3 linked regions of the Kluyveromyces lactis genome follow. The protein of the gene in region 1 purifies or fractionates together with the protein of each later gene. This does not show direct contact. Links are inferred from orthologs where the notes say so. Each region holds a gene or a part of one and is shown on either strand. Other genes may lie near its edges. The genes, in order: KAP123, YRA1 and SIS1.

The links.
Region 2: the proteins of KAP123 (region 1) and YRA1 purify together in Saccharomyces cerevisiae (affinity purification with mass spectrometry; 4 studies listed by BioGRID). This does not show direct contact. The link is inferred for Kluyveromyces lactis from reciprocal best matches to the Saccharomyces cerevisiae genes KAP123 and YRA1.
Region 3: the proteins of KAP123 (region 1) and SIS1 purify together in Saccharomyces cerevisiae (affinity purification with mass spectrometry; 3 studies listed by BioGRID). This does not show direct contact. The link is inferred for Kluyveromyces lactis from reciprocal best matches to the Saccharomyces cerevisiae genes KAP123 and SIS1.

Annotation. Positions count from the first base shown.
Region 1 is NC_006041.1:1,849,247-1,854,823, forward strand, and holds the start of KAP123 (karyopherin KAP123), read right to left. Parts: upstream 2,799-5,577; coding exon 1-2,798. Other genes in the region: SBF complex DNA-binding subunit SWI4, read right to left, coding at 3,276-5,577.
Region 2 is NC_006041.1:254,570-260,146, forward strand, and holds YRA1 (RNA-binding protein YRA1), read left to right. Parts: upstream 1-2,389; coding exon 2,390-2,644; intron 2,645-3,880; coding exon 3,881-4,294; downstream 4,295-5,577. Other genes in the region: AFI1 (Afi1p), read right to left, coding at 1-1,548; COI1 (Coi1p), read right to left, coding at 4,727-5,050. UniProt on the Saccharomyces cerevisiae protein: RNA-binding RNA annealing protein. May have a role in pre-mRNA metabolism. Component the TREX complex, which operates in coupling transcription elongation to mRNA export.
Region 3 is NC_006040.1:410,351-414,795, forward strand, and holds SIS1 (type II HSP40 co-chaperone SIS1), read right to left. Parts: upstream 2,330-4,445; coding exon 1,265-2,329; downstream 1-1,264. Other genes in the region: pseudouridine synthase CBF5, read left to right, coding at 1-379; TOR complex subunit LST8, read left to right, coding at 3,012-3,923. UniProt on the Saccharomyces cerevisiae protein: Required for nuclear migration during mitosis. It is required for the normal initiation of translation. Might mediate the dissociation of a specific protein complex of the translation machinery. Essential for viability.

The sequences.
Region 1 (5,577 bases):
TCAATCAACAAACCAACACCGTATGAAGCATTACATCTGACTTCTAATGATTTATCATTAGTCAAACTGATGATCAAAGCCTCTAACAATTCTTGAATGAATGGGTTTTCATCTCTCATGCCTAAAGCGATTTCAGATAGAGCACCGACGGCAAAGGATCTCTTGTTCTTGGACTTGGATTGGCACAATTGCAAGATAACCGGCTTGGCTGTAGTAAACACTTGGGCGAAACCACCAACCAAGTTAGTAGACAAAGCGACATAGATGTCTAAAGCGACGTCCAACAAAGTAGCTTCGGTTTCTGAGGCATCTAGATCTTCGTCTTCTGGGACGTCTTCTTCGAAATGGATGGTTTGACAAGCATGTTCACCCTTCAAAACGCTCAAAGCTTCACGACATAGTTGATCCAAATGGGTAGAGTCACCGTTATCCATGATGATGATTGGACCAAACAATCTTAACATTTCAGAAAGATCTTGGAACACGCTGATAACCATAGAAGTTTCAACCTCTTCGATAACATTGTTCAAAGAAACTTCTCTAACAGTTTGAATAACGGCTAACGCGCTAGCATCGACATAAGAGCCTGATGGAACACCCTTTGGATACTCACCTTCTTTCAAGTTGGCAGTCAACAAAACAGCTTTAACAATAGCCCACATGGAGTGTAGAGCCGTTTCTTTCAAACCATATGACTCATTGACTTGCTCAGCTAAAACCTTCAAAGATGGTTCAACGTATTCCAAGAAGTGTTCTTTGGAAGCAATGGCTAATTCTGACAAAGCAGCAGCAGCAACTTCCTTTTCGTATGCGATACCAGTGTTTACGGTAAATTTGCTTTGTAGTTCTTCTTCATCCAAATCTTCGATGCCTTCCAAGAAGTCTTCGTCACCGTCAAAGTTAAATTGGTATTCTTCTTGTTCGAGAGTTTTAAATATTTCAGGAATGATGGTTTGTAGGAAAGGAGCAAAGTCCTTACCATAAACCTTTGCCATATTGGCAATGAAGGCGTAACCAGACTCTCTCAATCTAGCAGAATCAGTTTTGATAGCTTCGTAGGCAGCGTTCACCAATGGCTCAGCATATTCAGCAAAAGCAGCGGATTTGACCGCTCTACCCATGGTGGAGATGTTTTCGAAAGTCAAGGCCTTCAATTCAATGTCGTCTTCAGACAAACCTTCGATTTGGGAGACGTTTTGAATAAACTGTTGCAAGTATTGAACAGATGTCTTGAAGTATGGAACAAATCCTGATCCGGCAGCAAAGGCACAAGAACCAATTGCAGAAACAATAGCAGCTCTCAATTTTGGTGATTGTTGGGTTTCCAGCATTTGGAACAATTTGTTCATTAATGGATCCAAATATTTAATGATATCATTGTGAGCAATGAATTCTAATAGACCATCCAAGGCAAGAGTTGCGTACTTGTAGATAACCACATGCTTAGCAGAGTCAATGATATCAATCACTAGAGGCAAGTATTGCTCATGATATCTAGCAACTTCGTCTTGCAAATTGGTACTCAACTGCACAATACATTTTAAAGCAGCTAATTGCACGACTGCTTCAGAGTCCTTCAAACCAGTAACAGTGGCAGGAATGATTTTATCGAATTGAGATAATGTGTAATCTGGAGAGCCAGTAACCAATACAGAAATTGCTAACAAGATTGATCTTCTTTCGAATGGGTTAGAAGAGGACAACATGGTTGGCAAATGTTCGATAATAGGAACACCGACTTGAGATGGGGATAGTTCCCCAGAAGCGTTAGAAATCAATCTGAGAGCAGTCAATGCTGGGGTGTTTTCTTCGTTCTCACCGGCTTCGTCTTCATTAGTCAACTCATCTTCGACATCAATTTCTTCCGAAGCAACCTTCAAAGCAGCCAAAGTGATCTCTGGACCCAATTTGGCTTGGTTTATTTTAGATTTTCTGTAAACTAAAGCAGAAGTAACAAATTGTACTGCAAACACTCTAATATCTTCATCGACATCGGAATTGACGGCAATTTGTAAAGCCAATTTGACCAAATCAGCAATTGTGTTACCAGTTAATTGAGAGTCCAATAACAAAAAGTCATTTAAACAGTTGAAGATTAGCTTTGTGTTAGTAGTATCACCTTCTCTGATGGTGGCATCCAGAACCTGGACGACGGAAGGAATCAAAGAAGCAAACTTAGCGGCATATTGTGGATTGATTTCACCTTCTTCTTCGATTAAAGAGGAGACGTAACTCAAGGCTTGCGCAGACAAAGATCTTGTCTCCAATGATGCAGAATCGTTAATAGTTTGAGCAAACAAGTTCAAGAAATCATCGATGTGTAAAGCCAAGTTAGCATTAAAGGATTCCAAAAGGGACAAGATAATGAAAATAGCAGTTTCTCTAATTTTTGGGTTACTATCACAAGCAGCTTGTAGAAGGTTTGGAATCAACTCTGGCCATTTCTTCTCGTCTAATTCTTCGGATCCAATGGAGGCAATGACACGGGCATTAGCATGGCGAACAGCATCTTTTCCTTCGTTAAAAGCAGAGTTCAACAAGGATTGCTTTACGCTTGTTTGAGTAGCAGCATCAAGAGAACCCCAGTGCTTAGAAACTTGCTTTCTAGCTTCAACACCGGCTAGTTGCTTGATACCATCATTTGAACTGTTTTGCAAAATGTGAATCAAAGCCGGCAAAGCAGCAGATTGAGTGTAAAATTGTGATTGCAAAGTCTTGGTAGCATCCTTCAAAGAACCTGTAGGTTGAACAATAGCACCTAAAGCTTGCTCCAACTGAGCCACAAACTGTTGATCCATAACGGGGGGGGGGGGGGGGGTAGCTTTGGGTATGTAATGAGTTAGCGGCGCACTAAGGACTGACGTACCGGTTTATAAAACTGATAATAAAATCACAGGCCTGAGAAGTTGTTAAGAAAAGGTTTCACAACAAAAAGAAGAAATACAGTCTTTACTCCTATGGGCTAGGGTATACTTATTCGAAATGAGCAACCTTCAAGATCCTTTCGCAACAGAAATGAGAACAGTAATCTTTTTTACCTCATCGCATCGCATCGCATCTCATCTCATCTCAAATTTAATTCTTTTTCAATATCAACACCGAAAACCAGAAACCAAAAAAAAAATTATGTTAGCTACAGTGGGCTTGTTGCTTTTTGTTTCGTAAGTTATGATATTTAAGATGAATCTTATAAAGGTAAAGTCTAAGTAATGGGCCGTGTGCATTTTATACGTGCACCGTATGCGTAAATAAAAGTCATTAAAAGTTAGAAGTCCTTAGCGAGACTGAGTCTTTTCCATAGAGCTTAGGTCCATCTCGATGTCATTCAACTTAGAATCGATATTGTCTATGGACATACCAATAAGTTTTCTGAACTTTGATATTTTACTATCTGAAACCAGTTGATCTCTAGCGTATTTGATATTCCTAATCATTTGTCTTCTCTTGAACTGCTTGTAACACAATTCTACCATCAATTTTATGGATTCTTTCTTTTCGAATTCATTAGTAGCTTCCGTAGATGAGTCCTTTGAGAGACAGTTTTCCTCATCCTGTACTAATGTAGCAAGTGACAGCGCTTGCGACCGCTCCATATAGTTATCCAATTCAATGTTTTTCATCTTCAGCTGATTTTGGGCGGATCCCAACGTATTTCTATTATTTGAATCGGAGAGTGCCTTTTCTCTTGCGTTGGTGTGCTTCAGTTGGTTCTCGATCTCTTGGATTTGCTCTTCTTTCAGCTGTATACTATATTGAAGATTATCAAGATTATCTTCAATTATGTTGCTCAAAGATTGAGTAAGAGAACCCAACTGAGCAGTAGACTTGATGGTTGGAGATGATGATTTTTGTTCTTTTCGTACTCTTTGAGCATCAGGTCTACGTAATCTGTTCACAGGCTTCACTAATGTTGGTGGAGATGGTGGATGCAATTTAATTGCTGGAGTTAAGGATCCTTTCATTTTATCAATTGATAAGACATCGTTACGGTCGACTATGTTGTTTTTCCTAGTTGAAGTCTGTATACTATCCACTGTGGTGTCATTGAAGTCGTATTTGCTGGTGTCATCTATACGCTCTTCTTGACTGTTTCGAGGAGTGTTCGCCAAGAAAGTTGTCTTGGGTGGAGATTGTAGAATCTGGGCAGGAAGCGTTGGTTGAAATATATTTGGAACTGTGAAACGAGACAGTATCATAGATACTGTCTGATTTTCACCGTTAAGAATATCTGGTGACGCGCCGAAATATACTAATTTCTGGCATAAATCAACGTTCTTATTGAGGGCTGCTAAATGTAAAGGGGTATTTCCCAATGTATCTTGGTGATTGAGTGACATTCGCAGCAGTTTCTCATCCTCCTTGGCAAGTGTATCCAATATAGTGTCCATATAATACTCTATGACATGAGGTTCTTTGGACCTGTTTACTGTCAGCTCGACTAGGTAGTGCAAGGGTAATCTATGATTTGCATCTGGTGTTACTAGACATGGATTTAACATAGATATTATTTGTTGGAAAGAAACGGCTTTGTAACAATTGTTGTAAAAGACTGATTTTGTCAAACAATTGAAGCCCTTATCATTACAACGGAGAAGATCTGCGTCTTGGACTAGTAGTACTCTAATCAATGGAATGTTTGACATAGCGACAGCCCAATGTAAAGACGTATGTCCTTGGTCATCGATTAAGAAGTTTATGTCCAAATTGGATGGAGGCCTATAAAGTGCTTCGGGTAGCGTAGGTTCCACGGAATCGTATTCTGAAGATAAAACCTCCAAAATGAGTTCCTTATAATATTCTGTGGACACACCGTTCTTATCATGAGCTGATGAGAGTGGAGTTGGTGATTCTGATGAGCTAGACGAAGCTTTATCGTTGGAGGAGAAAACTTCCATTGAGGATCCTGTGGATGTAACGTTTGAGATCATAGACCCAGAAGAATGCCCCATATTATTACTGCCAGCATTGCCCTGCGTCATTTGTTTTAGTATTTTCATGTTATGCTGAGATTTCATGTTAGAGTTGACTGGCACTGGAGCCACGTTGTTTGTAACAGGTACCATTTGTTGGAACTGGTGTGTTTGTGGGTATGGATAAAATTGCAAAGGTTTCTGAGTAGTTTGGTATTTGATTGGATGGTTTGCTTGAGAAATAATATCAGGATTCACCTTACTGACCGGTACCATTGGAGTATCTTGTTCAGAAGCCAAATTAGGAAGCTTTTCAGTACTTTGGTTACTATTTTGACTCTGATGATGATGTTGCTGTTGAGGTGTTTGAAACATAACATTGTGTAAGGGGGACGGTTGAACTGGTTTATCCTTTTTCCCAGATCTCCTTATAGATTTTTTCTTCATTGGGGTCTTTGCATTCTTCTTTGGTGTTTTCTTATAAGCTGATGGTGATGTAATCCTTGCATTCGGGTCCAATTTCTTGATCTGAGATACTTTTGATCTTCTAGGAGGCATATCATTTGGATCAGGAATAAATTCTACAATCCTTTTGACAACCTTATTGTTAATATTGTATTTTTCCACCAGATATTTAGTCGATTCCCAGGGTATCCAGGTCCCCTGG
Region 2 (5,577 bases), about 1.6 Mb from region 1:
TAATTGAAGGATACTCGCACGCTTGAAGGTATTTAGTACAGTTTCGTTGTCGTGCTGTCCTTTGACAAGAAGGTTTATGACTTTCAACATTAAACCACTTTTAGGGGTCGGCTGTTTAGTTGCTGGAAGTGGATGCACCTGAGAGGTGGTATATTTGTTAAACATTGATCTAATCCCCAGATTTTTCTCTGCATTTTCTTCTTCTGATGGTAGCGCCTTCGAGTTAAGTAAGGAGTCACTATCCAAGTCATAGTAAAAGTCCCATGCATCAACTTGGTATTGGAAAATAGGGTTTGATACACCTACTACACTGAAAAAATTCCCTTTCGTGAACTCCTCCGTGAAGTTTTCTCTGAACATATCGATTATTGATATTTCCATGTATGGAAAAATGCAAATAGAGGAATTATCAAAATACTCCGAAGAAAACCCGTTTATGAGATTGGATAGGGCGAGTACAAATTGGCATAATTCATCCTTGGAACGCTCTGTGGAGTTAATAATTAATCTCCAAGAATATGTGGAATCGGGAATTTCAGTTAAGAGAGGAATTAATCTCGCAAGTAATTTCAAAATTGAATTATTATAATTCGTATCTATTTTTATGGCATCATATTTTATTAGATCAATTTGCAAAGGAATCCTCGTAAAATAAGCAGGTAGAACTTTGGGACGGAAAGTAGAGAACTTATATTCAAGAATCCTGTTTTTAAATTGAATCTCATTTCCGAACTTGTCTTTTTTGGGCAGCTCATTAACCCTAAGTATATTGGGCAAAGAGTTTTCGTTTGCATCAAATATTTTGGATGTAATTTCTTCGTCATTGATAGAGTTTAGAATATTTTGTAGTACAACATTGGAATGGAATCTTATGACCAAAGAGAGATCAAGACTGTTAATCATGTCAAAACAGTCTATAAGTATTTTAATATCGTTGTTATTCGATGTCATGTAGTGATCAAGCACCATTGTTAACAATGGTTTAAATGTGTAAAAGTTTGTCATAGTAGTACCCAGTGCAATGGCTTTTATATAAGCACCGCGATCATTTGAATTATCTAAAAACGTGTTCACGACACTTAAGAAAAATAATGGTGGCTCAGTTTCCTCTAAATGCCTATCATCTCTAATTGATCCAATCTTACCACTTCGCAGTCCATTTTCTTGTTCTTCTTCAAAGTCTTCCTCTTCAATTATCAGTGAGGAATCCAAGTCAGTACCTTTAGTCTTATTTTTGGATACAGGAAACAACTGGTAAACGTTTTGATTCTTGTATAAGACAAAAACAGTGAAATCTGGTTTACCTGGATGGTTCTCCACACTATTCGGTATCATCAAACTGGCCAAATGAGAACAAGTGGAATCACTCCCAATAGTTTTAAAACCAGGGATTGTCTTTGGATATTGATGCTTTATTATCGGCCCAGATTTGTTATCAAATTCTGCCGCTATTATAAATTGAACATTGGGGTTAGAGTGTGTGTGTTCATTTTGAGATTGTCGTAGGTGAAAGTTCAATCCTGTTTTTACCTTGGAAGAGTGTTTCATAACTGGTGAACGCGCGGTCTTTCCTCTTTAATTACAGAGTCAGTCCGTTTACCACCTGACCGTCGTTCGGAGATTTAACTTGCCAGTGAGACGTCTGTATCATTTCGCTGTAAAATAGCACGATTTTGACCCATCATCGTCTTTCTTTTTGAACCGATCAAATAAAATGAACCAAATAATATCGCTAACAGTGAAATAATCATGAAATTACCCGGACTGTAAATGGATTCAATTCGGCTTCTATTCGCTTATGACAGGAAGGCATAGAAGAATGTTTGGATACTAAGCGTTGTAAGATTCCCGCCACAGCCTACTTGGGTCTATCTGCGGAAGCGATCCATTTGAACATAAGATTGATCGAATAGCTGTCTATCTTATATATCAACGGATTTTACTTTTCAGTTGTTGCGGCCTTACAATTCACGAAATAAAGCTAAACGATGTTTGTTGGAAACAAATGAGTCCCCTCGACGAAATTATGGAGCATTATCTTTAGTCTTTGAAATGACTGTTATTCACAAAAATCTTTATCATGTCAGGAATGAAGTAAGTACACCGTTACATATGCAGCAGATCTTAGAAAATGACAATCGTTACCCTCTTTTGTTGATCGTGCTGGTTTTGATTTTCTTGAAAAGAATTGGACAAAAAGTTTGATATTTGATTTTTTTTGTATAAAAGGAGCCATAGATTTTTGCCCATTGGAATTTTTTTCCCTTTTTCCATGAAAGTTGTTCTTCAAATTTCTCTTTGTTTCTACTTCATAAGGCAAGCAACTTTATAAGTTATTTCCTTCGAATCAGCTACCCATCAGATTCTTTTTTTTACACTCTCATAAGCAATGTCTGCTCTAGATCAATCATTAGATGAAATTATTGGCTCAGCCAAGCATGCCAGAAGAAACAACAAGGCCGGGCCAAAGAAGGTTTCTAAGCAAGTCAACAAGAGCCGTACCAGAACAGGTGCCGGTCCTTCTAGAGTTCCAAAGAAGGCTGCTTCTGCTGCTGCCCTAGTGCCAGCTTTGCTAAGAGCTCCTATTTCTACTAGAGTTAATGTCGAGGGTTTGCCAAGAGACATTAACCAAGACGCTGTTAAAGTATGTCCCATTTTAGCCATGGCCTCTTAGTAGGTTCTTTTCTAATGAAAAGGACTGTCGAGATGCTACTGTACTGATTGCGAAAACAAATCGGATCAAACTGCAATAAGACTTGCGGTTAATTTAAGTTTACAACGGATATATCCTGTGGAATTCCATCCTTATGTTTACTATACGATCATACATTCCCGTGTATTTGATTAAGAAGAAACGGTCGATCGATACCTTTTTTGAGGTCTGATATTGATGTGTGAATAATTTATTTCAGAGTTAGTTTTTATTGAGCTAATGAAATATAACAAAACGAAATTAGCTATCCAATTGGCTGGGTTTCGCTTTTCAGCAAGCCTTCCTTTGTGATTTCTTTCCGTTTTTCTCCTCTAAGTTGACAGAACTTTTCATCAAAATTATGCACTGAACTTCGTTTATTTACGACATTTTATTTGATGGAGAAACGGTAGTGAATCACGATTGGGAAATGCCGAAAAGATGAAGTATATCTATTTTTTCTCGTCATATCTTCTATTCTTGTGACATTATGTGTCACTGGAGTTTCTGTTACCATTTATTACATTTGGCAATGCATCTATTTTTTAATGATGCCCAGTGTATTATTCTCTTTTTTCTAACTCTTTGCAAAGAACTGGGAATTTGAAGAAGATTACTTGGTGTACACCTTGTAGGAACAATTAAGTTTGACCTCTTCCTTGGTGTGTGTTTAGCTTGATGCCTCAATCTTCAAGATAGTGCGACATTTTTAGCAAGGTCGTCGTGTTTGACAACTTCAAAAAAATTGGCAAAAATTGAAACGCCACTGAAAAGCAAGTTTCAATGAATGTAATAAATCGAGATGGGTATGCTGGATTTGAAATCGATTTTCATTTGTCATTCTGCTATGAACATGTTCTATCTTGTCTGGTTGAGATCTCATCACTGACTCCAGATTTACTCTCCAAGAAAAAAAATAGAAAAGAGAAAAGTTATAGTATACTTACTTTTTGTTGGTTGTCATGTTAGATCCTACCTTCAAATCGAAACCTAATGAAACCCATTTGTGGTATATTTTACTGTTTAAGAGTTAACTTCATATCGTGACAGAATTGACCGGGTCGTACATGTATGATGAATTGTAAACATGAATGATTTCCTACAGGACTATTCATTGAAGACTCCGCTGTTTTCAGTTATCTATGAATAGTTTCACTAACAAAAATTTTGCTCCCTTATTATTACTAGGAATTTTTCAACCATCAAGTCGGTGGTGTCCAAAAAGCTTTGTTGAGTTACAACGAAAGGGGTAACTCCACTGGTATGGCCACTATTACCTTTAAGAACGCAGAACAAGCTAACTTAGCTGTAAAGAAATTCCACAACGCACCAATTGATGGTGGTAAATCCAAATTGAGATTGACGTTGATTGTCGATCCAAGCAGAAAGACATTATTGGACAGAATCCGCCCTGTACAGAATGCTCAGGCTGCCGCGCCAAACAAGAAGGCAGCTCCAACAAAGCCTCAACCTAAGAAGAAACCAGCCGGTCCAAACAAGAAAGCCATTGCTGCTAAGCAAAAGAAAAGAGCTAAGCCAGAAAAGAAGTCTTTGGAAGACTTAGACAAGGAAATGGCTGACTATTTTGAAGAATCCAAATAAGATATTGCGTTCTTGAAATTACTGGACTGAGAAATTATAAAGTCTTCCTTAATAACGAACGGATTGTCTCTGCTTTCGAATCTATTCGTTAGACATCCTAGAAGTTCAGTTCATTTGTTGTTTGTTTTATATTCCTCAATTTCAACCGGTGTGACTGCGTGGTTTCTCAATCAAAAAAATCCGTATCTTTCTTATGTGCTCGGCCTATCTTTTCTTACCTAGCTAAACTTTATTATAATATTGATATCAATAGTTTGTATTTTATTTCACTTTCTTTAAGCACTATTTACATGAGGAATCTTTCAGTAAAGAACAGGATATATTTCTAGATTGTTTCATTTAGTCATTGCAGTGTTTGTGTGTGTTGTTAATAAATAAGTGTGATGGGTAGGTTCGTGTATTGCCTTGCAGAATTAAAATCTTGCTTATTAATCATTCGTTACTTCTTCTATCCAAGAACCCTAATCTATCACCACGCTTTCTTGTATTGTAGGATAAACCGGCCCCTTCAAATTCACTTTTCCTTTTTATTTCCGTGGTTTCTTCTTCTTTCTTCATGGGGAACCCTGGTTTCACCAGAGCAGGGTTTGCGTAATAAGAATCTGCATCTTTCTTCTCATCCCCACTCAAATTCTGCGGGTCGAACTTGGAAACTTTAGCATCACGTACAACGGTCTTGACGATAACTATAGAAGCAGTAAGACCAATACACAAATACGCAAAGTTTCTACCAATATTTTGGAATGGGTTAGACATTTTTATTGAAAAGATTGTATCTACCAAGTTTGCTCTCTGATGCTAAATGCTAGAAACCAAAAGCCAAATAAAAATAAAAACTCAAAGTTGGTATATGGTTCGTCACTCAATCCGAATAGTTCCTTCTTCCGTTCAGGATCTATTTTTTTATCAACACGCTCTATGATGCTGTTCTCAATCTGTTTTTTATTTAACTGATTCCTCTACTACTTTCGCTCAGTATCTCTGATTCCTGCTCATATTTGAATTCAAATCTTTATTTTCCTTAGATTTCTTTCGCTGAGGAAAGGTTCGCCGTAACCCATTGCGGAAATAAAGAAAGAAAGAAAAAAAATGTTGACCTCATGGTGATTTCACCTTATTCCACACACCATTATCATACAGATTGTAATAACGTTAAGCAACTACCTGTTCATTTATTTATTTGTGCCTAGATATTGACCGAGTTCGAGAAGCTGCAACCTGCAACCTGCAACCTGCAAGAGAAGAGACTAGTATCTTCGGATTGGACGAATTAAGTAGACAAG
Region 3 (4,445 bases), on another chromosome or scaffold:
GGGTCTTGGTCCAATTGCCCAAAAGAAAAAACAAATGAAGGCTGACGGTAAGCTAGACAAATATGGCCGTGCCAACGAAAATACTCCAGAGACCTGGAAGAAGACTTACGTTTCATTGGAGAATGCTGAACCAACTACCGCCCCTGCATCCAAATCAGAAGAAAAACCACTGATCAAAGAAGTAGAAAAGAAGGAAGTCGAACAGAAGGAAGAATCAAAGGAAGAATCAAAGACACCAGAAGAAAAGAAGGACAAGAAGGAAAAGAAGGAGAAGAAGGACAAGAAGGAGAAAAAGGAAAAGAAGGAGAAGAAGGAGAAGAAGAGAAAGGCTGACGATGATGAGTCTTCCGAGAAGAAGAAGAAGAAGTCAAAGAAATAAACGACTACAATCTAAGTCCTTCATATCATCGATCGAAATTTCAAAACTGCATAGAGTTTATCATTTAGGTTATGTACACTGTAGAATATTTTTAATCATTGAAAAACGTATTTCGTCACGACTGTTTTTTGTACCCTGTGTCGATGTTGTATATCATTGTATTCGTATATATAAATTTGTAAATTATTTATGCGCGTGTGAAGACACCATTACGTCTTCAATTGAAGTAATGGCAAAAAGTAATGGTAAATGTATGAGGTAGATAGAAGATTTGATAATAATACTTGGAGTTTTTTTTTTTTTGGCAGACATCAATTGTTCGGAACCAAATAGAAGTCGGGAAACTTGCAGATTGGTATGTCTTTTATTTGCATGATGTCATTTGCTCAATAAAAAGGTAAATGAAGGTTAAAATCTATGCAAATGGTTACATTGTGAACAGAAGTCGAGGTGTCACAATGAAACGTCCCGTTTCTTACTTTACCAGTATTAACAATCATTGAATAATTCTCCTTGTATTCTCTCGCATATTATATTGCGTCCTCAACTTATGTTGCGTGCTTCATTTACCGAAGGATATTTTTTTGAAAATAGTGTACAGTGTGGTCAGAAAGTTAACGCATTAATCGACAGACAATGTAGCCATACGATAAGATTGCTTCTGCTGAAGTGAATGTGAATGGAACATTTGAATTGGAAATAATTAATGGGAGTAAACATTTAAAGAAATGAAAACATATGACATAGAACCATAATGGTGGGAAGATAATATTTCTGGCAGACGTTGAATTGTAAACATGATCACCGTCAGAAGTCTAAATTTGCAATCGTCATGTCATACTTTTATGATTTATTTTCGTTATAAAGACATTCTTCATCTTTCATTCAGAAGTTATCCATAATGGCTTGTCTTTGTTGAGGTGTTAAAGAGGTTGGATAATCGATCTTGAACTTAATAATCAAATCACCTCTTTGGGAAGGATTCTTTGACAGTGTCATACCTTGTCCGGGATATGTTGAGGTTTGAGTAGGTTGAATTGGCTGCGTTCTTGTGATTGGAATTGTTTTACCGTCGATGGTTTGTACTTGCTTGGAGAAACCTAGAAGAGATTCTTTGAAAGAAAGTGGTAAAGTGTAAATCAAATCATTGTCTTGTCTGGTGAAAAATTCGTGTGGTTTTTCCTGTAGAACGAATTGTAATGTTTGTCTACCACCAGTTCTTGGATTATAGTCACCTTCACCTTTGAAAGTAATCTTGGTACCTGCTTTCCAACCTGGTTTCAATTGGATGTCAATTTGGTTCTTTTCGGACACACCACCGGCGCCTTTTCTTGTGATCTTGAATGATTTCTTCTTACCGCTGAATAAATCTTCTAAGGACACAGGTAGATTGACCTGAACAACTTCTTCTTCAGGTCTAGCCTGTTGTCTACTGAATCCACCTGGCATTCCACCTGGCATTCCACCTGGCATACCGCCTGGCATGCCGCCCGAAGAGGAATGGAAACTACTGCCTCCAAACCCGAAATCATCACCAGACCCGCCGCTAGCAGAGAATCCAAATGGAGAAGCACCTCCGGCAGCACCTCCTCCACCAAAGAACTGTGAAAAGATGTTGAAAGCGTCATCTTGTGAGAACGCATGTCCCCCGGCAAACCCACCAGAAGAAAATCCTCCAGGCCCACCAGGCCCACCAGGCCCTCCCGCTCCTCCAAATTGAGGAGCATTACCACGAGCAGCCTCTAGACCATAAGTATCGTAAACTTCCCTCTTCTGAGCATCTGAAAGAATCTCAAAAGCCTCAGAGATTTCTTTAAACTTCTCAGTGTCACCTGTAGGCTTATCTGGATGATACTTCAAGGCAGCCTTTCTGTACCCTTTTTTAATCTCGGCTTCACCTGCACTAGGCGAAATTCCTAGCAAATCATATAATTTAGTGTCCTTAACCATACTCCTACGACGTTTCAAATTTGGTAATTGTCCTTTTGTATATATGTCGAATGATAGTTCAAATTAGCTCTATCTAAACTAGAAGAATTAGAGTAAACTAAAAGAATCAGTTAATGTTTACACTGTTTCGAGATACCAATGGGACAAAAGATGCAATAAAACTCTTCTCTAAACATGTCGATCGAATACCAACGACCAATAATCTTTGAACGAAAAACATCCTGTTCTTTGAAAACCTTTATATAACATTTCATTCCTATATATTCAGGTTCAGTTCTGTTGCAACCGATCATGTTCTTTCAGAGTATACCCTGGAACCTTCTAGAAGTAAAAAAACATGAATGCTTTAAGCACGCGAGATTCATGTGACAATCACGTGATATAGAAGTTTCCCACCAATACAAATCTGTCATCACAAAGCCGCAAATCAGGTGTCATTCAATGACATTAGCCACTACACAATCTTGTGGCTATCTCTATGCCTCCACTTTTGTTTCAATTGCTGTTGTTTATATCTCAATCATGAATATTGACAAATTATGGTTTAATGTGATAAAGAATATGCAATATACTAGATGAAAGAAAGTCTTAAGGAATCTGAGGAGTTTTCAAGGCTTTTTCTCCCCTGTGAACAAGGTAGAGGTTTCTTATTGTGTACGGTCAGACTAACTTCAATATTGCCATGTCTGTTATTCTAGCGAGTGCTGGATACGACCACACAATTAGGTTCTGGGAAGCTTTGACTGGAGTCTGTTCACGAACCATTCAACATGCAGATTCCCAAGTGAATCGATTAGAGATTACGTCCGATAAGAAATATTTGGCTGCTGCTGGTCATTTACACGTCCGTCTTTATGATATACGGTCGAATAATCCAAATCCGGTGTCCTCTTTCGAAGGCCATAAAGGGAACGTAACGTCGATTGCATTTCAACAGGAAAATCGATGGATGGTATCGTCTAGTGAAGATGGGACTATTAAGGTTTGGGATGTACGGTCCCCATCTGTGCAAAGGAATTACAAGCATAATGCACCTGTCAATGAAGTAGCGATACATCCGAACCAAGGGGAATTGATTTCCTGCGATCAGGATGGGAATATCAGGATTTGGGATCTTGGTGAAAACCAGTGCACAAACCAGCTGACACCAGAAGATAACACGCCATTACAGTCGTTGTCCGTTGCAAGCGACGGATCGATGCTTGTTGCAGGAAATAACAAAGGGAACTGTTATGTATGGAAGATGCCTCATCACACGGATGCTTCCACTTTGGAGCCCGTAACTAAATTCAAATCGCATACTAAATATATTACCAGGGTCCTACTATCGGCGGATGTAAAACATTTAGCAACATGTTCAGCAGACCATACAGCTAGAGTATGGAATATAGAGGATAATTTTGAACTTGAAACCACTTTAGATGGTCATCAGAGATGGGTGTGGGATTGTGCGTTTTCAGCAGACAGTGCATACCTAGTCACAGCATGCTCTGATCATTATGTAAGATTATGGGACCTTTCCACAAGTGAAATTGTAAGGCAGTATGGAGGACATCACAAAGGTGCTGTTTGTGTTGCTCTTAACGATGTATGAAACTTTAATCAATATCTCTAAAGAAGGGATATGCGACATAGCATTTTATTGTGGTTTCGTTGATGTAGTAATTTAATAAAAAGATCAAAACTATGGATATCAAAACTCTTATTTACTTTCAACACTTAGATATATATAAAGATGACCTGCGATGATACTGGAAAGTTTCGCCAGGATCAGAAGTTGGTTGTGGCATTCGTTTTGGAGCTCACTTGAGTCGTCGAATGAATTGACAGGTCCAAAAACAATAGTACAATTAATGATCATGAAAAGGAAAAGAGCAGAACGACAATTACCACGTAAATGCAAGAATGGGTATGGTAATAGATACAAAATTAATGGGAAGATTAGGAATGGTTCAATTAGATGGGAAAACAAGTCCAATTTTCGTTTTTTTATTCGTTTCTGAATAGAATAATAGATTAAAGGAATAGAAACGATAACGAATGGTAATAAAGGCAGGTAAATCGAATTTAAACAAGAAAAACAAAAACAAAACAACGAATAGGAGATGGAGTAGGT